4 linked regions of the Saccharomyces cerevisiae S288C genome follow. Changing the gene in region 4 together with the main gene of any one other region gives a genetic interaction. Each region holds a gene or a part of one and is shown on either strand. Other genes may lie near its edges. The genes, in order: MMT1, COT1, MMT2 and CCC1.

Region 1 (6,277 bases), on a different chromosome or scaffold from region 4:
CGAGGAAAAAGTGAATGGGATACTATCCAATCAAGGCCGCGCTACTCCACCTCCGATGACGAATTAAAGAGCTTTATAGAAACAGATTTCTACAAGTCATTTTTGGATGCAGAACAATCTGCTGACTATTCAAACACTGGAGATAATTCAAAAAATTCATTTCCAGAAGATAAGATAGCAGGAAACACTCTACATGATGGTTCACAAAGCGACTTCATATTTGAGCCTAATTTCATCTTAGCCAATGGCATAAAACTTTATAAGACGACACAGGAGCAGGGCTCATACATTTTTAAGTTTCCGAAAGCCTTCACATGTTCTATTGGATCAGGTTTCTATCTATCACAGAATGCAAAATTTGCGCCAAGCTCCTGGTTGAGATTCAGTTCCGAGGCAGCAAAATGGACATCTAAGATGGGGTTTCTTCCCGGTTTAGATGTAAATCAATTACTTATCAATGCCCTACTAAACTCCAATAACCCAGTTTTAAGGAAAAAATGCCGTGATTTAATAAGTAACTACGTCGTTGAGGAAGCGGAAAACAGCAAAAAATTAGGGGAGTTGATTGGCACTGTAGATGTCGTTTATAATAAATTGAATTATATTTCAGATATTAGTTTAGAGTCAACTGGTCTTTCAAAAATCGTTGTTACACACGGTGCATTGCAACGTAATTTATCTCTGAAGGAATTCGTGGTATTGCTAGAAAAACCAGAAAACGGTGCTCATAGTATATGTGGCATCCCAATACGTGATCAATCTGGTAATCTCAATGTTTGTTTGCACTCATACTTTGATAGCGCAAGCCTAGGAATTGCTCTCGATGGCTTGGACAAGCCTCCGACTTCTTATCTGCTTGTTCACAATGAAGATTTTGAAAAAAAGTGGGACGTGTTAATGACTTCTACTTTTAGAAATAGAACTGTGCCATTAAATATAATACAGTATTTGATCTCTCATACTGATAGTAATACTGAGTTTAATCGAATGTTACGCTCCAATTTTGATGATTCATTACTACTTATTGAGAAATGTAAAAAGTTTATTAAGACCTTCGTGGATGTTTCCTGTTCTGTTAAAGATGTAGATTTCGGAAACGGTTTCAATTTACGTCATCTACCGCTTAAGTTTTCTGACAACATGGCTGATAATTTGGAGAGCTTGTATGAAAGTGTGCGGAAGTGCTCAATTGAATTTTCAGAAAAGCCGACAATTATCAGACTGTATCACGTATCTCGGCAGTTTCCTATCGATAATAGAGATATTATTGATGGCAATAATCTAGATTTGCTTAAGGAATTATATCAGAAATCGTTAACCATCCCGTTGAAGGTTTCTTATTGGACTAAGTTGACCAGAAAAATATGTAGGCTTGAATGGTTATCCGTTTATGAACATATATTCATTGAGCGATGTGATATTAAGAATGAAGACCCTGCGAAATATTCACTTCCACTGTTATATTCTTACTTCGAATTTGGTTTGAAATATTGTGATTCGGAAGATATAGATAAGTTAGGGGAAGTGAGAAAGCTGATTTTAAAATATCAGGACATGATGCAGAAAGTTCGAGTTTTTCTAAAAAAGGATCCACCCTCAAAAATATCGCTAAGTGATTTAGAAGACGTTTTATTAGATATAGAAGAATATCGGTTACCCATACAAAGTAGTTTTTTCAGTGAGCTTGATTATGTTATTAGAGAAATTGAAAATGCAAAAAAAATGAACGATGTGAATATTCTTTATAACACTGATAATATTGATAAAATAGACGAACTCATCAGGAAAAATGATCCTAAATTTGTGAAGTTTGCGAACCAGTTTAATGGTTCGAGATTAGATAAGAGACCGCTGGCCAGTGATAATTCAGGATCAGTGAAAGCCAAACAGGAGTTAAAAGTTTTCAAATTATGGAACCAGCACTTGGATCAAATAATGCAAAAAAATAAATTTATTGAGATACTGCCGTCGATTTTTAGATGTTTAGATTTGAAGTCAGACAAATACATTCCTTTGGAAAGTTGTTCTAAGCGCCAAACGAAATATTGCTTTTGTAGAAGGGTTGAAGAAGGTACTGCAATGGTCGAATGTGAAATATGCAAGGAGTGGTATCATGTGGATTGTATTAGCAACGGTGAGTTGGTTCCACCTGATGATCCAAACGTTTTATTTGTTTGCTCGATATGTACACCACCCTGTATGGCCGTTGACAATATCGAAGGTGTGACTTTTGAGCTTGACGACTTGAAGAGGATCTTAGTAGAATCTTTGAAGCTAAGTTTAATTCCAGATCCCCCTATCTTGAAGAATCTCTTTGACGTTTTTGCGTTTGCTTTGAACTTCAAAAATGAAATGGAAAAAGAACTATTTACTAACGGTTATGTAAATCAATTGTCCTCTACGCACAAGATCAAGTATTACTTGAGAAAGTTAAAAGGGTCACAATGCGGCTTTACTAATCTGACGGATCCCTTAAGGAAACATTGTCAGGTGAAAGATGCAGAAGCAATTAAATGGCTCACAGATAATGGAAGAATCATAATCACAGGAATTCCAAATTGAAACGTAATACTATCTTATTGATTAAAATCACTATTTACTTATCTAAAATGTACCTGCGAAGTCTGCATGACATATTCTCTCTTCTTTTATTGCGCATACCTCGTTTACTCATACTCAGATGTTCTACGACGTTTTCTATGGTTGGCAGTAGTTACCTATTGTTGACACTCCAGTATTGGGTGTTTCCCATCCAGCATAATCCCGGTAAAAAAAGACACCCCAGAATCTAGGAGAGCTCCTTTCGAAGGTGGAAAAGCGCGTTTTGCTGTCAATATTGATGTTTATTAGTAAGTGTTTACCGTTTCTTGATAGCTTTCCTTACGTAACAATTGTTCTTCTGCTTTCCTTCGTAGGAGGAACGCGCCAAGGCAATTTTTCTCGAGAGGTATGAAAAAAATAAAAAAAGCTCATTTCCATGACAACTTCAAGTAATTGACCATCTATAGGAACCCTAAGACTTTTGGCAACTTCGACTTAGAGCTCTTTTTTGTGGTTTTGTTCATTTACGCTAAATAACTGAGAGTTTAAATTTATTGATTTATATATTATTGCATCACACAAACATCGCTTTCTTTTTCGCATTTTTGACAATGTTAAGAATCTGCGTAAAAAGGCCCTGTATAAAGATCGTTCTTTCACAAGTACGTCCAGCATTACTAGTAAGGAAGGAGAATCTCCACATAAGTACTGGAGTAAAAGTTGAAAAGAGCAGTATAATAAACCAAAAGGACCCTAATAAAGTACGCGTTGAGATAAACGAGTTAAAGAGACAAGCTGAAATTGAAAAGGCTGCAATAAAGGAATTGGAGAAAAATCCTCAATACCAAAAATTAGCTGAAGCATTCAACAGTCATGATCATGTTCATTTACGTGAATCAGAGACCGAGCAAAACGACATAATTTCATTGGGCACGATACGAGACTACAAAAGCAGTAAATGTGAGCAAGCTGATAAGCCTTCGTCGTTGAATCTGCATTCGCATACACATTCTCATGGACATACGCATTCTCATGCTGCTCACAATCCATTATTAGTACTTAGTACTGAGCAAATTAGGAAAAATGCAGGCGTAAGAATCACATGGGTCGGCTTAGGTGTAAACGTTGGTATTGCTATAGGTAAATTTTTTGGAGGTATCGTATTTCATTCACAAGCGTTGTTTGCGGATGCTATCCACGCAATAAGTGACATGGTTTCTGACTTGTTGACTTTGCTTTCGGTAGGGCTAGCAGCCAACAAGCCAACCGCTGATTATCCATATGGGTATGGCAAAATTGAAACTGTTGGTTCCTTGGCAGTTTCAACAATATTAGCCATGGCTGGTATATCAATAGGTTGGAGTTCCCTTTGTGCACTCGTAGGGCCTGTTATCCCACATACAATCATTGACACCATAGGAAACTTAGGTCATGCTCATACTTATTCTGAAGACATTATTGAAGACGTTACTGATATCAACGCAGCCTGGATTGCCGCCGCTTCCATTGCAGCTAAAGAATGGATATTTAGAGCCACAAGAAAGATTGCTATCAACACTAATTCAAATGTACTAATGGCAAATGCTTGGCATCACCGTGTTGATTCATTAACTTCTCTTGTTGCTCTGGTTGCAATCAGTACTGGTTATTTGGTTAATATACAATCATTAGACACGATTGGTGGTTTAATTGTTTCTGGTTTAATTATCAAGGCTGGTGGCGAGGGTATGTGCATCGCAATAAAGGAGTTAATCGATCAGTCAGTTTCTCGTGATGATCCACGCTACCTAGAGATAGAAACTTTGGTTAAAGATACGTTGAACAAACTGATCTCTAATAATAATTCTCAGAAACCCTATGGATTGAAAGAACTGACGTTACTGTCCTCAGGACCGAATTTACGCGGACATTTAACCTTGGAAGTTCCTTTACAAAAATGGGGCAATATTTTAGGTGTTAACGAGTTTGAAATTGTGACACATCATTTACGTAATGTGTTAACCAATGAAGTATCGAATTTGAGAAGACTGGATATTGAATACGTGGAAGAAAAAAATGGTGAGGAAAATGAGCATATCAAGGGACAACAAAACTACAAAGAAGATGTTCTTATTAAGCACGACCATACGAATACTCATATTTGAGCTTCCCACAGTAATAATAACAAGTGAAGAAGAGAGGGAAATGTCGAAAATACCCGAAACGCATTTCACAATTACAAAAAGGCCAAAAAAAAAAAGGAAAGACAATACGCTTATATTTGTCACGTATACCTACTATTTGATTTATGTACGTTTTATATACAAATTGCATTTACTATTTATAAAATAAATCATTAACTATAATACTCTAACTGAATGTTTTAGGATCTTCTCTATTAAAAATATACGTGGAAAACGACTATGGCTGCCCGAGAGACTAAAAAGGAAAGAGCGAGGGATATAACAATAGCAGTCATTACTGGTGATAATAATGACATAAAAGAATTACTGAAGGAGGCAAAGTATATACTGTCAAGGGTATAATGGTGAAAGTAACTGCAGCTTGTATCATAATTGGTGATGAAGTGCTGAATGGAAAAGTAGTTGATACAAATTCCACTTTTTTTGCGAAGTATTGCTTTGATCATGGAATTCAATTAAAAGAAATTGCAACTATAGGGGATGATGAAACCCAGATCGTAGATACTGTGAGAAGATTAGTCAAAAATTATGATTTTATCATCAGTACAGGTGGAATCGGCCCCACTCATGACGACATCACTTACGAATGTATGGCGAAAAGCTTTAATTTGCCTTGTGAACTAGATGAAGAATGCAAAGAACGAATGAGGCATAAATCTGACCCTGAAGCAAGGCTTGATGCAGATGCTCTAAAGGCGCATTACCAAATGGCAACCATGCCAAAAGGCACAAACGTCAAAAATTATTATGTGTGTGATGACTTGTGGGTACCTATTTGTTCTATATCTCACAAAATGTATATACTACCCGGTATCCCTCAACTATTTGCAAGGATGCTGAAAGCGTTCACTCCCACGTTGAAAAAAATATATAATTTGGACAAGGATCCACGTGAGTATGTTCGTTATTTTGTCAGAACACACCTAACTGAGTCTCAAATTTCTAAAGAGCTAAAGTTGATTCAGGATGAATCAACAAAAGTTTCAGAAGCCATTAAAATAGGCTCATACCCACATTTTGGTATGGGATTCAATACAGTTAGTATTTTGGGTGAAAAGAAAGACGATTCATATCTGAAGAGTATTGTCAATAGAGTTGTTAATAACCTCGAGGGAGAAGTAATTTCTTCTGAACTTGAAAACAAGTTCTCGAACCAGGAGAGCTGAATACCCGAGTATTTAGAACTATGTATAGATATAGATTTTTTTTTTGGGAGCAAAGTCATCTCAGTCATCGCCGGTAGTTGCGCTTTCTTCTCAACAAAAAAGTACACTGCTCGTGGTAGAAAGGTACCTTGAAAAATTAAAGATCACATTGCTACTGTTAGAGCTTCAATCGCTAAAGTAAACATTTGAAAAATGCATATCCGAAAGGACCAAACCAGCAAAAGGTATATAATTCATTCAATAGATACAACTGCTCCATGAAAGGAAAAACCTTCATTTACGGTCGCGTTTTTTTTCGTGATATAAAAAAGGTAAAAAAAACGCGTCGCGTTAGAAAAAAGGTGTGTGTGAAGAGAAAGACCCATTGAATGGAGAGTTCGGTTCTTG
Region 2 (6,199 bases), on a different chromosome or scaffold from region 4:
CGAAAACCAATTCAAAAATATGAGCTAGTGGCAAAAAACAGATAACACGGTCGGTATTGCCCACAAACTTCAAAACATTCAAACTTGCACCACCAACACCTGCGACAACATTTGAATGTTTCAAGACAACACCCTTTGGCTCACCTGTAGAACCAGACGTATACATGATGCAACAAAGATCATCCTTGCCAGGTGGATGAACATCGATTTCGTTACAGGATTCTTTACCTAGCTTCAAGATGTCGTCAAAGCTAAAGGTCTTGATATCAGGTCTAACTTCTTTAATTCTGTTGATGGCATCATGAGCAGATTGATAGATCTTACCACTTTGCCTCCTGTCCTCAGAACTGATGGAATCGAAATGAATTATGTATTTTACGTCTTGAGCGGCTTGCACTGGTTTGATCAAGGATGGTAATAAAGAGTTATCGGTAAAAATGGCCTTAGACCCCGTTTGCACCAAAGAATGAATTAGCCCTTTCTCTCCCAAAGTATCGTAGGCAGTGACGACAGGAATACCTTGAGACTGCGCTCCTAAGAACATCTTCATCCACTTGTGAGAAGTGGCTGCGTAAAGATGTAATTTGTCATCATCATTAGGCTTTAATCCTATTTTCACCAACCCACGACCAATTTCATGCATGATATCGGTCAATTGGTCAAATGAATTATAATGATAATGCGATAGTTCATAATACATCCATTTCTTTTCCACTGAAGTCTCCTTGCCATCAACTTTTTTCATAACCGATTTGGATTCTTCATGAATTTCCTTAACATCCCTCCAACCCATAGCATTTGAATTTTTGTTCTTCTGAAAGCACTCTAGAACAAACTCATAAACAGTGGAACACTTTGTGTTAGGCGGTCTGACGAGCGGCTTCTCGCGGCATTGATAATTTCTTCTTGGAGCAGTTTCATGCTCATTGGCGGCTTTCCCAACTGGAACGGTATATTGAGCAACCATATTGTTGTCTTTTTTTGTCTTTTGTGTTTGTTCTAGTTTTTATTGTATCCTAACGAGTTTTTTAACAACAAGAACTTTCTATACTTACTAAATATACTACAATTGTCTCACGACAAGTGAGGGGTAAAAGGAAAAAAAGAGAGAAAAATAAGCGGTTAAAGCCTTTTACTTAAAGACAGCGAAGGAGATCTCCAAACATTTTTGTTGTAATATCGATAATACGATATCCGCGAAAGGAACCAAAAAAAGCAAAAAAAAAAAAAAAACGCGCGAGAACAGCCTATCTCTGCTGTCCCGTATGCACAGGGAAGTTCTCCTGATATGCGATGGGTGGGTGCCCCTGTGTCATTCGTATTATATGATGTATTCGTGCCTGTATCATGCATAAATATTCACATGGCGGAGATCATGTTCCTGACAGGGCGTGATCGACTTTACTATTGTCCTTGTCATTCCCTTATGGAAGAATATGACAGGGCTGCATCATCCATATTCTAAGTAATTCTCTTTGCCGCGCTAAGCATGGCTTCATCGCTTGTTAGAAGGCGCATTTGTTATAAAGTTCAGCCGGCTCTATCGGTCCGCTAGCTAGGTCTGTTTACTTTCCGCAGCGTAAGCAGCTGGCAAAGTGGATCGGTCTTACATCTACAACGCAGTGACGTTTCTGATACTTTGGTGACGTATTCTTTTCTCACCGCTACGTTTTCTTCGCCCGCTCCGTGCGGACCGAAAAAAGACCCTCTCCCCTTATAAATTTTGTCAGTATTATAGCAATTGCCTGCGGACTTTCACCGCGCTTAGATCAAGAGGGCATCATGAGGCTACCTACAATTGACATACTAAGTCAAGAAAAATAATAGTGTATCGAATACGCGTGGTAGCTACATTAAATACTAAAGTATGGTTTTTTTTTTTAAGTAGGTTTACTCTTCATATTCTTCATTTTCATTTTTCCTTTTCTTCCCGTTCTTCATTTTTATTCCTAGAAAAAAAAATAAATATGTCTATCGTTAACCTAAACATAAACAAAGTTTAGCCCGCTTATTTAAATGATGCCCAGTACTTTTTTTCAAAACTCATATAATTATATATATCAAGAATGCTTTCCAACCACCGCTTGTATTAAGGTGTAGAAAGGTGGTTTTTGTATTCAAAAAGAGTACAAGCCCATTATAGCTAACTTAACAGTCCACCCTACTATATCCCACGCATATCTGGTTTTAACTTGTGGCGGGCGATATGGAACGAATTTTTCAAAGTTAACCATAGAAAAAAGCATGTGATCAAGGCAGAGTGAACGAGGGAAAAAGAAAGTGTGGAGAAGGCCACCTTTTGAAAAGTTTACCAATCGATCGGTCTCTCAGCACTTTCTACATTTAATCTCTTTATAGTGAACATCGCTGGCTCATGCTGGTTCCCATGCATAACTCACCCACGGCCGCCAACGGCCGCTTATCACTTACTGTCGCCAGCTCCGGTCTTAGAAAGGGTAAAAAAAACCGGGTGTATACTATACACTCATACATCCGCTCACCCGTTTCCAGTAGTGAATTTTCATTTTCTGTACGAAGGCAATATAAGCTGACGATCCGCATAAAGCAGAAGACTCATTTGTAATGCAGAATATCCGTACAATAAAGGAATTTATTGGTCTTATATATTCTACGTGGGAGCTCGAAAAGCATTTCTGGTTCTATTTAGTAACCAATTATTTTCACTTTGCTCAGAATAGTTCTGCATAGCTATAGAAAGAAAGTTAACACAAAGTACGGAAAGATTGAGTAAATATGAAACTCGGAAGCAAACAGGTAAAAATTATATCCTTGTTGCTGCTAGACACAGTGTTCTTCGGGATCGAGATAACTACCGGGTACTTGTCTCACTCTTTGGCTCTAATCGCGGACTCATTCCATATGCTAAACGATATAATTTCTCTTGTGGTTGCACTTTGGGCCGTAAATGTTGCCAAAAACAGAAATCCGGATTCAACGTACACTTATGGTTGGAAAAGGGCGGAGATTTTGGGTGCTCTGATTAACGCCGTCTTTTTGATTGCCTTATGTGTCTCAATTTTGATAGAAGCGCTACAAAGAATTATTGCTCCCCCCGTGATTGAAAATCCTAAGTTTGTGTTGTATGTGGGTGTCGCAGGGTTGATATCGAACACCGTTGGACTTTTCTTATTTCACGACAATGATCAAGAGCATGGACATGGACACGGACATTCCCATGGCGGTATCTTTGCCGACCATGAGATGCATATGCCATCATCCCACACACATACACATGCCCATGTTGATGGAATAGAGAATACTACACCAATGGATAGTACGGATAACATTAGTGAGATTATGCCTAATGCTATAGTAGATAGTTTTATGAACGAAAATACTAGATTATTGACACCGGAAAATGCATCCAAGACGCCATCATACTCAACGTCAAGCCATACGATTGCCAGCGGCGGAAATTACACAGAACACAACAAGCGCAAGAGATCTTTAAATATGCATGGTGTGTTTCTTCACGTTTTGGGCGATGCTCTTGGCAACATCGGCGTTATGTTGTCTGCATTTTTCATTTGGAAGACCGACTATTCTTGGAAGTATTATACAGATCCGCTTGTCTCATTGATAATTACCGGTATAATTTTTTCCTCTGCGCTTCCTCTATCGTGCAAGGCTTCCAAAATATTGTTACAAGCGACACCTTCCACTTTATCCGGCGATCAAGTAGAAGGTGATCTTTTGAAAATACCAGGAATAATAGCTATTCATGATTTCCATATTTGGAATTTAACAGAGTCTATTTTTATTGCATCTTTGCATATTCAACTAGATATCAGCCCGGAACAATTTACTGACCTGGCCAAAATAGTTAGATCAAAACTTCACCGCTATGGCATTCACTCCGCTACTTTGCAACCTGAATTTATTACCAGAGAGGTTACTTCAACCGAAAGAGCCGGAGACTCCCAAGGTGATCATCTACAAAATGACCCGCTTTCATTAAGGCCAAAGACATATGGTACTGGCATTTCAGGTTCCACTTGTCTTATCGACGACGCTGCCAACTGCAACACAGCTGATTGCTTAGAGGATCATTAAAAGGACTTTATAACGAAAAAGCGTGAAGAATTAAATACTTTTAAAAATCGTTATACGGTACATATACATACACACACACACATATATATAGTCGTCTATAATGTTTTTATACAATGTTTATCATAAATTTTGTTACAGTAAGAAGTATAGGAGATAATATAAAAAAAGAGGAAAAGCGAAAACAGGTGATAATAATGATGATCATAATAATAATATAATAGCAATAGTCTTGCAAAACAACAACTTGAGGAAGGAAAATAGTAATAATGGTGTTTAGCTTTTTTTAGATTACTCCAGCTTCTAAAAAAGAGTACAATACTTAGCACAATAATGCTGTTATCTTTTTTCATTTAATTAAAAAGACCAGTTGTTAAGAAATAATAAAAAAAAACTCCTTTGTTTAGAATTCAACAAATTAGAAGAAAAAGAACCTAGTTATTGTTCTAAAACCTTTGCCCACTGAACTTTTTTGTAGTCCTTCGTACTCTGTAGTTCATTACATTGCGTCAGCTCATCGCGCCTTCCTGACTGAAATTCGTAACCTCTTATTACTGCCGCGTCGGGAAGGTCGTCTTCATTGTCTTCTTCATTATCTTCATCTTCGCCAAAATTACTAGCTTGCCCATATATTTGGTCTTTAAGCTTCTTGTATTTCTCCTTAATTGAAGAGTTTACTGGAATTGTGAGCTTCTCCCAAATACTAGAAATTGCTGGTAATTTGTTTTCTTCATTGCTCAAAGTAGAATTTATTTCGGTGGCAAAGATGGTAGCGTCATTTAATGAGCCTCGCGACGAACTGACTATGAGATTCAGAGATTTGGCTGGTACTGTTAGAATTGATTTTTTGGGCTTCAATAGACGGTGAGAGGGTTCGTACCTTGTTGGCTTGAAGGTCGATCTGTTTACTGGAGATAACCTTTTTTTGAGTTTAGGCAATAAAAGTGGCACATCACTGTTGGATTCCAGTGGGCTCATCGGAAACGAAGAATGAATCATTCGGTGGAGCTCCAGTGCTTCTTTATTAACAAGCGGCTTACAGTTCCAGACAAAAGAATCAACGCCAAAAGGATCTAAAGAATCAATCTTTTCAACATCAGGCGATGTCGAGTTTATCGAAGATATATCACTCAATGGACTAACTAATTCATGTTCTGAAAAGCAGTCGTTATCAAAACTCAATCCAGGACTGACAATATTCCGGTAATCATTATATCCTTCGGTCATAAATGGATTGGTGATTTCACCTTGATTTTTTTTTATTGATACGCTAAGAGTTTGGGCTTTGACATTCTTTGAACTTGTCTTAAATTTGGCTTGGTATAAACGAAACCGTTTGGAGGGCGTAGTGTCTTCTGCTATAAAGCCTGATGAATATTTACATTTTTTACTTGGTGTACTGGGTATTACAAGCCCAATTTTTTTTTTTGATTTCGGTGTTCGCAACAAAAGTGTGTCTGAAGAATGCATTTCATCCATGTTTTTGAAATTTTTTTTTTCTTAATTTTATATTTCTCTTGTTTAACTAATCAAACATATTTACAGAACAACTTATCACCTAAACGCGCCTAAGTTCCAAATATAGCTGAAGTGTGGAAGGCACAAAGAAATGTTGCGTTTAAATAATACTTCGCTTGATTTTCCTCGTAGAGTGACAAAATTGATCCATTTTAAATTAACAAGAATGTTACCGCTTTAAAACTAAACTGTAAACAGTATCGAATGACATTTACGGTAACGGGCTTAAAATTCAAGATTTTCCTATCGAAATGGGCATGCATCTGTCGTTTACCTAAGCAAGGCTATGTATCGTTACACAACGTATTTAGTGTGTTGTGAGCTCTCTTGTTTACCAATTTGCACTAAGAGATATTCGCAGCTGAAAAAAAAAAGTTTAAACCCGATTAGAATAGCCATGGGATTTTCCATGCATTACTGCTGTCTATAACGGCGTGACCAGTTTAGCATAAATCCTTTGTCCGTAGTTTCTTTGAATCGTTCTGTCATACTGTTTTGTTTTTAAGACTGAGGCTGTCAAACTTTAATCTCAAAATCGGCCTGAAATCTTGAAAAAGCGGGATTGTTTTCTTTTTTTTTTTGCATATTCCCGTGGTTCGCATTTCCAAAA
Region 3 (6,469 bases), on a different chromosome or scaffold from region 4:
AAACGAATATCTCTTCGCTGTGTCATCATGGTTCGGGGTAAAGCTTGGTTCAAACTTGTCCAGGAAGGCAAAGGGGCCATAATCAATTGTCAGGCCCATAATGGAGGTGTTATCCGTATTCAAAACACCGTTAGCAAACCCATACGCTTGCCAATGGGCCACTGTGTTTGCATTCAAGCTAACTACATGTCTGAAAAACTCATCATATTTGCTCAATGTGGAAATGTTATCTCCGGTCATGGTACTCACCTCAGTTTCATCCTTTTCCACCTGCTCATCAATCTTCGTCTCAGTGTCAGGAAAAAAATCCCTTTTGAATATATTAAAGTCGGGTTTCCCCTCAAATTGGGTCCCCCCAGCAAACAATTCCTCAATGCAATAATCTGATAGTTGGATCAACCCTTTCAAGTCGTGCCGCCATCTGAATAGGTTGAAGTTACCCAAGCGGATCCAGCTGGGCGCAAAACGGCATACAACAGCGCACGGTTCTTGATTGCGCCTTTGCGCCTTCGTCCCCGGTAACAGAGTTAATTGCATAGCTCTTGTGGATGGAATTCCAATACTGTGCAACGCCTCGCTCATTATGAATTCACGTATGCTTGATCTTAACACAGCTTTCCCATCTGCAAACCGAGAAAATGGCGTCATACCGGCACCTTTCAACTGAAACGTTTGCCATTGTCCGCTACACTTGTCCTTAAGATCAAACAAGTTTACCACACGTCCGTCTCCCAGCTGTGCAGCAAATGAGCCGAATTGAAATCCGGAGTACACTGTACTATAGGGAAAGATACTATCGGAATAATATACTTTCTCACCGGATAGTATTTTCTCCAAGTCCTGATCCTGCACCAAATTAAACTCATCAAGTGCGTTTTGCGAAAGCAGTAATGGCTTGTAATGTGGTTTCTTAGTGGGCAAACAAAATGCAAAATGAGCCCCCTGCGAAACCATCCGAGGCGTATGGAAAAGCTTTAATCTCACGGGATCCGTTGCATTGTACTGCTGCACGACGTTTATTGCCTCTTGTATGGACGACAGGGAAGTATCTGCGGTCAACTTCTTGATGAAGTGGGACGCTGCAGAGTTTTTCAGCGCTTTGATTATTGTCCTTTTTTCCCCCATGATTGTGTTACACGCTCTATCTTCTTTCTCACACCTTCCTTCTTCTACTTCCGGAGTATAGTCTCTAGCTTATCCTTGATGGCTCTTTTTATGCAGGCAGAATAATTACAGTGACGTATTTGTGGCTTCTTTGGCACAACGTTTTGTTCCACGATCACCTCATATCACCGTTAAGTTCTTCATCGTCCAATTCCGGAGTTCCCCGTCAGCCGTGCGACCATGTGGTATTTCACCCGAATAATTAAGGGAAAACAGAAGGAGAATTACGTATCTTAAAGGAGCTAGACTCTTTGCCTCATTGAGGCTTTCTATACATCGGGTCCCCATGTATGGTCCGTTCCATAGTCGAAGCATCCTTAATTTCCTGTGACATTACAGTAGTTTCGCCGTAGAGCCTTTCACGGGAAGAATATGTTCAGTGGTTCCAGGTATGGGTTTGAGGATGTTCTTGTAAGGTGTGTAGATCCCATCTTTTTTAGGGATCACAAAGGGAAAATAACTACACAGCATGTGGTGGTACAGATGAGGTCAATGGCAGTTTTGCCTTAGTTGTAAGTAATTAACCAATCCTTGTCGTGCTTCTCATGAATGTGTATGAATTTATGTTCATCAGAATATCCCTCTTTAACCACAGTTCTTGCGTAAAGCATAGTCTGGCTTCCTTTAGAAAAAGGAAATGTGGTAATTCTAGGACCACGTTTTGGGCTTCGTCATTTCTTTTCACTCCTCCACTTTTATGACATTTGATCGCAAGTTCCTCCATACATCATGCCTAGTAATCAAAACAAATAACGCACAAGGGAGTAAAGGGAAATGGTTAGAAAAGACCGAAATCCTTTTTTTGGTCTCCGTTACGTGCTTGTTAATCAGGCTCCCTTGAAGCAGTCAATATTTCTTGGACTATAAAAGCACATTACTATTTCATCAAAAAAAGGATACATACCTACCCTCAACTCTTAATATCTACTAGCAGCAGAGCCAAACACTACCGCATAAAAGCTAAGTACGAATAACAATTAAGAAATGTCCAATCTATTAAACAAGTTTGCTGATAAGTTGCACGGCAACGATCATGATGAACGTTACGAAGACGACAATGACGACCAGACTAGACAACAGCGTCATGAAAAACATCAACAGAGGGAATTCAGGAATCAAGGATCCAAGGCCGATCCCTACGGCGAAGAAAACCAAGGGAATTTCCCTCAACGCCAGCAGCCACAGTCTAATCTAGGCGGTAACACGCAGTTTGGCGGTAACGACTTCCAGCAACAAACTACTGACTACACTGCCGGCACTGGTGGTGGCACTTATACCCAAACTTACCGCGAAACTAACACTCAAGGTCAGTTGGACGACGATGAAGACGATGACTTCTTGACTTCGGGCCAACAGCAAAAACAAGGTCGTACAAGAGGTGCTCAAAGTAACCGCTACCAATCCTCTAATATCGGCAGCGGTAGACGCGATCTGTCTGGGTCAGGAAACGATGAATATGATGATGATAGTGGGAACCAAGGCGTCTGGTAGATGCGGTGGTCGAAGCTTCTATTACATGCCTGAGGTGCGGGTCTCACCCTTGAGCAGCAAGTGAGAAATTTTACCCTAATTTCGTCTTCTTTTTTCTTTTTTCTTCATCTGGACCTATTATTGGTCATGATGCCACTTTTTACAAACTATTTCATATGTTTAATCTAGTTTATTTAGATCTACAGCTGTCAGTTTATACGTTTTTATTAATGTCAGTTTGATTTGATTAGTAGTGACCTTTTTCGTCGAGGTATGCCGTTTCACGGACCTCCAGATCCAGGTGTATAACAATAGAATTATGGGAAAACGGGGTGGGAAGGTCGTTGTCTAACTCAAACCTCCTGGAATTAGCGGGTAAAGTGTCGTTATTGTGCTGGGCAACAACTTTTTTTTACGATTTCTTTTTACCTCTCATCTAGGTTAGTGTTAGTTGTAAAAACCCGAGCAGATTGGTGCCTTTTCAAGTGCGTTCTTACAACCATACTTTTTTATTCTAGAACGTGTAAGCAATTACTTTCTCAAAAAAGCAAACGCAATAAAGATATGCTACGGATAAGTATTGACTCTATCAAGCAATTCGGTTCCTTTGTGCCAGGTTATAACAACACTAGTTACCATGCTGCCGGGAGGGCCATAAGAACATCAAGCCTGTACAGTACAATGATCTCAGCCAACCCGAGAAGGTGCCTGCATTCTTCGAAACTGCTAAATAAAGAAGGTCAAGAAGAGGGCTATAATGAACAGCTCATTTCAAAAATGTCTTCACAGAATGGATCGAATTCCAGACAGAATGAAAGTGAAGGAAAGAAGGAAGGCAAGGCTTCCTCTGTGAAGTCGTTGTTGCAACATACTCATAGTCACAGCCACACACATATGCATGACAATCCTTTATTGTCACTGAACGTACAGCAGATCAAGAAGAATCCTGGCGTAAGAATAACATGGATAGGACTTGCATCAAATGTGGGGATGGCAGTAGGAAAATTTGTAGGAGGAATCACTTTTCATTCTCAAGCATTACTTGCTGATTCCGTACATGCTCTTAGCGATTTGGTATCTGATTTTTTAACACTGTTTTCTGTCCAATATGCGTCTCGTAAACCAACTTCGGAGTACCCATATGGCTATGGTAAAGTGGAAACTGTGGGATCTTTGGCAGTATCCACAATCTTAGCAATGGCTGGTATATCTATCGGTTGGTCGTCGTTATGCGCTATTGTGGGGCCTGTCATTCCTCATGCCATTCTAGAATCGATGGCCGGTTTAATTGGTGAAACGCATTCCCATTCTCAGTCGCTAACACAACAGGCAACTAATGTAAATGCTGTATGGATAGCAGCGGGTTCTATCTTGGTTAAAGAATGGGTTTTTCAGGCAACAAAGAAAGTTGCAATCCAAACAAATTCTAATGTACTAATGGCAAACGCCTGGCATCATCGTGTTGACTCCTTGACATCGTTGGTAGCGTTGGTCGCTATCACATCTAGTTATTTTTTCAACATTCAATCCTTAGATAATTTAGGTGGGCTTGTAGTGTCAGGTTTGATCATAAAAACAGGTGGACAAGGTATCTTATCCTCACTGAAGGAGTTAGTTGACCAATCTATACCACCTACTGATCCGCGTTATCTAGAAATCGAATCTGTCATAAAAGACAGCATTGGCAGTTTGAAAACAGACTTAGATCTCAAACAGTCGTTACATGTTAGAGACCTTACTATATTAGCTTCCGGTCCTAATCTTCGTGCCACCACAACTTTGGAAGTGCCAGTATTACATTCAGGTCAGGAAGTTGGGATAAGATTTTTGGAAAACGCTATTTCGACTATAAGAGAGGATTTACGTATGAAGGTGCCAAACGTGGGGAAGGTGGACGTCGAGTTTGTTGATGTAACCTCTGACTCTAAAGGTGATTTGGAGCACTCTCATGACACTAAATCAACAAATCATACTCATACTCATTCTGATTCTGCCGATACTCACACCCATAAACATTAGGGAATTCTCAATGATGAATTTTTTCAAAAGTTAAGAGCAAAAGTACAGCCTTTCACATTTCAACAATTTACTGAGCTTAATATATATATGTATATATATATATGTTGAACAAGGAAGAATGCCTTGTGTTGTTCCTTTGTATAAAGTAATGTATTCTATATAATCAATCACAAATATATATGCATGTTCATTTCTGACCGACAATCCAATCGTTCAAGCCGTGTTTATTTCTAGCAATTTCAAAAGCGTAAAATTGTAGTCTCACGACAAAACAAGTAGTAAATTGACCATACTCGGCTGAAGCGTCTGTCCTCAACAAAGTACCAAAGTTATAGTCTTCGATTTTTTTCTCAAAAATTGTGAAGAACTTTCTCCATCTTTCCTTGGCTTCTTTTGTTTTTAATTCTTCCTCCGTAAACTTTTTGACCCTTTCAACATCTTTGTATTCTGGGAATCTCTCCATAAAATTCTCGTATATTTCGTCATCAAACTTAGTCAAACGTAACTTGGAACCGGGAACACTTGTTAATAGTTTCCAATATGTTTCCGCTTGTTCAACAGCAACAACAGCGAATTGTTTCTCGATATCTTCCAAGTTATCAGCGGTTTCTGCATTAAAAGTAGACATTGTTATATGATTGTTTCGTCGTGGTTCTTCTAGTCCATCTAACCAGATGTAGCTTTAACGGGTGAAAATTATCATTACTTCTGCTAGTCGAAGAATTTATGGATGTTCATCACTCCCTAGTACAACCTCTTACCCGGACAATTTCTTCAACAATGTTCATTCATCTTTAGTTTAATGAGGGATTTATAAGGTGAAAGCCAGTAGTAAAAGTGTATTTAACCCCTTTAAATTATCGCAAACTGTGCCTAGCAGTTCAGGAGTTATTTTTGGTATACTTTTGGAGCACGATTCATAACCTCATGTAAGAAATAATAATCAATCTTCGTGTATTTTTAAAATAATAATCCTTAACAACGACCTCTTACATAAATTTGTAGTTCAACATCGACAATTGTTAGCATCAAAAAGGATCCCTTAAGTTTAAGTTTACATAATTAATCTGCGTACCGTACATATATGAAAAGAACCAATATTAACTACTCTGTATGAAAAATGAATTAACCTAGAAAACAAAAAAGGAAGGAGAGCGTCATATGCTTGTCCTAAATTCTATCAACGTAGTAAACTCCATTTGAGGAGTGAATTAAAGAAAAAAGATGGAGTGAAACAAACGAAGTTAGCGAAGATAAAACACTAGCCAGTAGGCTTTCAATCTTCTTCATCGTCAGTATCAACTGGTTTTGGTGTACCTTTTGGCGATGACAACCACTCAATGTAACGTAGACGACGACGTTCGGCTTGCAGCTTCTTTTCATTTCTTGTCAATCTCTTCTTTCTTTGCTTGACCTTGATGTTAGCTGGAGAATCATCGTCATCTACAGATGGCTTGGCCAAGTTGGAGGCCTTTAGACCAACGGCATCAGCATTACCACCATCTTCGAATTTGGATTGGTCAACTTGTGCAGAGCCCTTTTGAACCATTTTACCGTTCTCCACAATCCATTGTTCAGGACATAAAGCACCAACAAATTCGTTATTATGCGAAATCATAACGACACCACCACTCCAGTCACGAATAGCAACGGCCAAAGCACCAAGAGAGTCTCTGTCCAAATAGTTGGTAGGTTCATCCAAAACAAGTAAATGAGGGTTGTTCCACATAGCACCGGCAATAACGACTTTAACTAATTGACCACCAGATAAAGAACCTAATGGAGTATGGTTAGCAATTTCAGAATCAAGACCAAC
Region 4 (6,030 bases):
TTGCTTGATTTGGTGTTAATCAATTCTTCTAACATCAAACCTCTTTTAGTTTCCTTCGATCGTTTCACGTTGCTTATATTGATTGCTTTTTACTTCTATTTTTTCACTAGAATAAACAAACAAAGACATTCTGTTGATCAAGAAAGTTGAAAATGGTATTTGGTTTTACAAAGAGGGACAGGAGGGTACCTGATTTATCTAGGTATGATTACTACTATCAGAACCATGAAGATTATAACAAAAGTCCTCAGCTCTCTGCTGCTGCTGCCTCTGCTGCTTCTGCCGCATCACCGGATCGAACCAATTACTCAAGGTCGCACTCGCTGGTTAGTCATGCACCTTCAATACCGAGACAAAGAAGTTCGGTAAAGAGCCCAGGAAGAAGGCTTTCCACATCCTCTGCCGCTCCGCCAACGTCCAGGGCAGCAGCTAAGCAGTATTCACAGAAGACTTACTCGTTGAGGTCGCAAAGGAGCGGAGAGTACCATTTACACCCGCCCGGTTATACTACTAATGGGAGCCGTATGAATTCTATGACGTCTGGTGCGAATGTCAGAAGAAACTACGGTAAGAACAAATCGACGGCCGGCAACAATAACGATTCAAGGGCCAACTCCATTACCGTAAAGACTACACAAGTAACAGACCCTTCAGGAAGGACTCAATCAATTACCAAAAAGACAATAAGAAAAATAAATGGGTATGAATACGTAGAAACCACGACTACGACTAAGAATTTGGTTCCATTAGGTGACTCGCAGCGTCATTTCGATGAATTTAGTGAAAATTACATGTTGCAAGATGACGACATTTTAGAGGAACAAGCTAGTGATAACATTCACGATATAATCGAGGAAAACGAAACAGATAACGAAAAGCCATATTCCCCAGTAAGCGAAAGTCATTTACAAGATGATTCAGAGCTAAACGTGGAAAAACCAGATTTCCCACTTGGATCATATTTCCACCATAAGTATTCTACAGACGTTATGCCTCTAGAAGAAGAAAGTAGTTTATCAAACTTCAGTGACGCATTAGATTATATTCCTCCCACCCATCAGACCAGTAGTAAATATATTCATAATAAAAGGAAGCAAGCATCGACGACAAGAAGGAAGAAAAGACCGCCTGCCGTGAAAAACGCAGAAGCAGAGGCCAAGAAACCATTAACCGAAGCAGAAATGTATCTGAAGGCACTAGAGGTTGCTAAAAGAAACGTTTATCACACGGATGCTGCTTCGGATAACGCATCGGCCCCCCTCGGGAGTAACAAATCCAGGAAAAGTAGGATGGGTCAAAAAATGACCTTGAGAAGCAGTAGTGATTCTCCGACGGCGACTGCTAATCTTGTCAAATCTAATGTCGAGGTTCAACCAAAAAGATTTACAAGTTCCTTCTTCAGCAGAAATACTAAAAGCGCCCCCCATGAAGTGCACAATCACTCTGTGTCTACACATTTTAAATCGAATAAGGCTGTTGACCCAGTTCCAGAGCCTAAAAGTGCAAACACAGGGCTAACAGATAAAGAAATGTATGACCAAGCTTTGAAAATCGCACAAGCGAGGTATTACAACTCACATGGTATTCAACCTGAAGCAGTCGATAATAGCACTACGGCGGCTAAACCTCGTCAGGTCGGCGTTAGCCATCTGGGATCCACTGGGAGCATCCCGCCCAATGAGCAGCACTATTTAGGGGATTCTGAAATTCCAGTCCAAAGCGAAGTGCATGAATACGAGCCCATTCCATTGCAGAAGACAAAAACAACTGGTTCTTCCAAAAATAAGTTCAAAACCATGTTCGATAAAGTGCTGCAATTCTCTCAAGAAAACTACGGCTACCAGCACAAGAAGGAACAAGGCGAACAAACTCCAGTTACTCGTAATGCTGAAGAAAGCTTCCCAGCAGCGTCTATTTCGGAAGGTGTGACAACCGCAAAGCCATCTTCAAACGAAGGTGTGATGACGAATCCAGTAGTTACAGATTCACCTTCACCCCTTCAACAACAAATAGACTCGACTACTGCGTCCTCGAATGGGCAAAGTCAGGGCAATGTACCTACCTCCGCAGTAGCTTCAACAACGAGAACAAGATCACCGGAACTGCAGGATAATCTAAAGTCTTCTTCTTCGCTTTTACAGGACCAAACCCCTCAGCGTCAGGAAGACGCCACGGATCCAACAACATCATCGACGAATGAATTATCTGCCGCTGAGCCAACAATGGTCACTTCGACACATGCCACTAAGACAATACAGGCTCAAACACAAGATCCTCCCACGAAGCACAAGAAGTCCAGTTTCTTCACTAAACTGTTCAAGAAAAAAAGCAGCCGTTAGCAGTTGTTTACTCGAATTTTGCAATCAACCCTAATTTTTGAAGCCTGGTTTTAGATTTATTCTCTTCTTTTTCTTCTTGTGAACTTCAATTACTAATGTAACTTAATTTTTAATATAACTTTTACAGTTTAATAATATTGATTTTTTTCGGTCTGGACCAATCGCGCCGCATTTCTCACTAATATTACTAACATACCCTCTTCTCATTGGCTCGGTACCCCTTTCGTGACCCGCATTTTTTGTTTTCTTTGTTAGCCCGAATGTCTCACAATGAAGATGTAAAATTAAGATTATATATGAAAAATTGATACAAAACAAAATAGTTCAAATAATCAAGTTAAAGCGACATCACTCTCAATTTTTGCTTTTTTTAGGTTTATAGAATAGAAATATAACAGAACGAAGCCTTTAGACTCTTTTTTTTTATTGGTATATTGAACAAAGAAACTTTTTTTTTGTCCTCCCATATCTCGTGCACACAAATATTATGTCCATTGTAGCACTAAAGAACGCAGTGGTGACCCTTATACAGAAAGCGAAAGGTAGTGGTGGAACCTCAGAGTTGGGGGGGTCTGAATCAACTCCCTTGTTGAGGGGTAGTAATAGCAATAGTTCAAGGCATGATAACTTATCCTCATCTAGCTCGGATATTATCTATGGTAGAAATTCAGCGCAGGATCTAGAAAACTCACCGATGTCAGTAGGGAAAGATAATAGGAATGGCGATAACGGTTCGGATAACGAAAAGGCGAACCTAGGGTTCTTCCAATCAGTAGATCCTCGCGTAATTAGCGATTTGATTATCGGGCTAAGCGACGGTTTAACCGTCCCCTTTGCTCTAACAGCTGGTCTATCTTCACTTGGTGATGCGAAATTGGTCATTACCGGTGGCTTTGCTGAGTTGATCTCAGGTGCGATTTCTATGGGCCTTGGTGGCTATTTGGGAGCGAAGAGTGAATCTGATTATTATCATGCTGAAGTAAAGAAGGAGAAAAGGAAATTTTACGATAACTCCAACCTAATTAACAGAGAAATTGAAGACATTCTGTTAGAGATTAACCCTAATTTCTCGGACGAAACAATCGTTTCGTTCATCAAAGATTTACAAAGAACACCTGAGCTAATGGTTGACTTCATTATCAGGTACGGTAGGGGTCTAGACGAACCTGCCGAGAATAGAGAACTAATCAGTGCAGTCACTATCGGTGGCGGTTATCTACTTGGTGGGCTAGTACCACTAGTGCCATATTTTTTTGTCTCAGATGTGGGCACAGGTCTCATTTATTCTATAATAGTCATGGTTGTAACATTATTCTGGTTTGGTTACGTAAAGACAAAACTATCCATGGGTAGTGGCAGTTCGACTTCAAAGAAAGTTACGGAAGGTGTTGAAATGGTTGTTGTGGGTGGTGTAGCAGCAGGTGCGGCTTGGTTCTTTGTTAAGTTACTGGGTTAAGTGTAAAGTAACAACACTATACATATTTATTGTAAAGAAATTTGGGATTGAGAAGCTTTGCTATATACTTGGAACTGGGCTGGATTTTCTCGACATACATTTCTTTTACGTTTTAATTTGTTTCTATATTCTCCTCTTTAAATTTATTTATATTAATGAATTTCAAACTAGTTTCTTTTTCTATTGCCAAGAGGCCCATCAGGTGATCCATGATAACCTTTATTCGCATTGAATCGTTTTTCATTGGATCTAATTCGTCATTTGGTCGCCGCCTTTCTTTGCTCCTTCTGCTTTTTTCTTTTTCTCTTTGACTATCAGGTCATAAGATCTTCTCCTCCATTATGCCCAAGTGTTTTTCTTTTTTTTGCCTTTATATAAATTACAAAATACATACATATACTTCTCGTGCAGTATACTGGAATCAGCTTTATACCATATGAAGCACAACTTGGATCAGGACCGCTCTTCATTAAAAATCGAAGAATTATCTAAATAATTAATGTGCACGTCAATATATTCTCCGCGGAAACATGACAAACTTTTAGAAAAAGATTTAAAGCAATATTTTTCAGTTCTCCATTTCTTTATTTTTCAAGACCAATTCTAGTTCACCAATATCAAACATTCCTATGCCTTCCTGCAGAGCATCTGCCAAAATGGATAGTGATTTATTCGTGAAATCCGGGGCAGCTCTAAGACGATTGATATCATCACCGTAGTTTTCAAAAAGTAAATTTAAGTATTCTTCCCTTAACTTTGTCTTGTCTTTCCCTTTGGGCACAAAGTTTTCTGCCAATTCATTGTATTCTTCTCTCGCAAGCTTGATATTTTCGGCAATTTTCGATGCATTCATAAAACCCTCCTTGTTTTGAGATTTCGTAGGCTCTGGGATCTTGCTCAAAGAAATTTTGGTTAAATCGTCTATCACTTCTTTTGAATTTAACTTCAAATCCTTGCTTTCTTCGTCTGTAAGCTCGACATCCGAAACTTCTATTGCAATGTCCTCTTGTTTGTCTTCGTCATTACCTTTTGAGAAAACATGATCACTTTTACCATTTTCTCCAACGTGTTCTTCGATGGCCCCATTTTGGATTTCCTCCTTTTCACTTTCTGATGATGGATCCGATGATGAAGAATCTGATGATGAAACATCAGCTGTTCTTCTCTTCTTCCTCCTTCTGTTTTTTTTGACAGACTTGATATTTATGGCTGATATATCACCTGCCGACATCCTGTATAATATATTATGGCTAGTTCTTTCCGTGCTATTTCAAGTGGGCAGTTTAAATTCTTGTATATATTACTACAATATATGAAAGTTTTCGCTCTTCGTTTTTTGCAAATTTTTAGTGATGAGCTCTTCGCGCAAAGAAGTTTTCAATGCCCGTAAAGGCACCTAATTATATATCGAATTATTTTAAGCTTTCCGCTTCATCAATGCATTTTGTCTTTATATATCTAGTTTACAAAATAATATGTTGCTATTGCCTTGCTTTTAAAGGCTCAATATCTTGGACTTACTGCCTAGAATAGCTTATCCATTTCCACTAGCGCGTAGTCTAATATGTAACTTTGTTCAACTAAGTTATCAACCCTTGTGAAATGCCTTTGCGTGTATGGAATTATTGCATCAACTATCTTTACCATTCCGGGTATCTCACTCAATTTTGCTATGTTATGATGCATCAAAATACATCTTATTGTTCTTTGCGCTATGGTATGTGTTTTTGCATTTGTATTCCAATCTCTGCATCGTTTCATTAACAAAATTAACTGTTCATCATTTAGGATAGAGATGGCTTGGTCCAATTCTTCATTGAAAATGACTTCAATTTTGCCCTCTTCGGTATCTTGTCTAGACCTTGATTCGCCCAAAGCTCTTTTCAAAACATTAAACAACCTCATTGGGTGATCTAAAGTCATTGCTAACAAAAATGCATTTGTCCAATCACCTTTGCTCATATAATTTTGAAGCGATTGTTCTTGTTCGACTTGTAATTTAGCTTTTTCTTGTTCTTCTTCTATTTCTTGTTCCGTACAATCTTTCCAAAACTGAAAAACACCATCTGCATCAGCACTTACGATCATATCACCATCATTCATAGTACTTAAAGCCCATAATCTATTATTATGACCATCCAAAGTCTTCAGACATTCACCGCTAGAACAATCCCATATTTTGATCAAGCCATCAGCACCACAACTGATCAGTTGTTTTTGCTTATTAATAAACGA

Evidence for each region.
Region 1: of CCC1 (region 4) and MMT1, a mutation in one rescues a mutant of the other (synthetic rescue), as found in Saccharomyces cerevisiae (one study listed by BioGRID).
Region 2: of CCC1 (region 4) and COT1, extra expression of one rescues a mutant of the other (dosage rescue), as found in Saccharomyces cerevisiae (one study listed by BioGRID).
Region 3: of CCC1 (region 4) and MMT2, a mutation in one rescues a mutant of the other (synthetic rescue), as found in Saccharomyces cerevisiae (one study listed by BioGRID).

The regions. Positions count from the first base shown.
Region 1 is NC_001145.3:613,414-619,690, forward strand, and holds MMT1 (Mmt1p), read left to right. Parts: upstream 1-3,152; coding exon 3,153-4,685; downstream 4,686-6,277. Other genes in the region: ECM5 (Ecm5p), read left to right, coding at 1-2,562; FPY1 (flavin adenine dinucleotide pyrophosphatase), read left to right, coding at 5,066-5,890. UniProt on the Saccharomyces cerevisiae protein: Mitochondrial metal transporter involved in mitochondrial iron accumulation.
Region 2 is NC_001147.6:904,111-910,309, reverse strand, and holds COT1 (metal cation transporter COT1), read left to right. Parts: upstream 1-2,754; coding exon 2,755-4,074; downstream 4,075-6,199. Other genes in the region: long-chain fatty acid-CoA ligase FAA1, read right to left, coding at 1-967; YOR316C-A (uncharacterized protein), read left to right, coding at 2,375-2,584; SFG1 (Sfg1p), read right to left, coding at 4,510-5,550. UniProt on the Saccharomyces cerevisiae protein: Vacuolar transporter that regulates zinc homeostasis by mediating zinc transport and storage into the vacuole. Plays a role in resistance to zinc shock resulting from sudden influx of zinc into cytoplasm.
Region 3 is NC_001148.4:124,818-131,286, reverse strand, and holds MMT2 (Mmt2p), read left to right. Parts: upstream 1-3,198; coding exon 3,199-4,653; downstream 4,654-6,469. Other genes in the region: FMP40 (Fmp40p), read right to left, coding at 1-1,125; GRE1 (Gre1p), read left to right, coding at 2,149-2,655; ribosome-associated Tef1p biogenesis chaperone CHP1, read right to left, coding at 4,841-5,281; NEW1 (New1p), read right to left, coding at 5,930-6,469. UniProt on the Saccharomyces cerevisiae protein: Mitochondrial metal transporter involved in mitochondrial iron accumulation.
Region 4 is NC_001144.5:573,999-580,028, forward strand, and holds CCC1 (Ccc1p), read left to right. Parts: upstream 1-2,826; coding exon 2,827-3,795; downstream 3,796-6,030. Other genes in the region: MSC3 (Msc3p), read left to right, coding at 153-2,339; RSA3 (Rsa3p), read right to left, coding at 4,364-5,026; U3 snoRNA-associated protein UTP13, read right to left, coding at 5,320-6,030. UniProt on the Saccharomyces cerevisiae protein: Has a role in both calcium and manganese homeostasis. Involved in the transfer of iron and Mn(2+) from the cytosol to the vacuole for storage of these metals.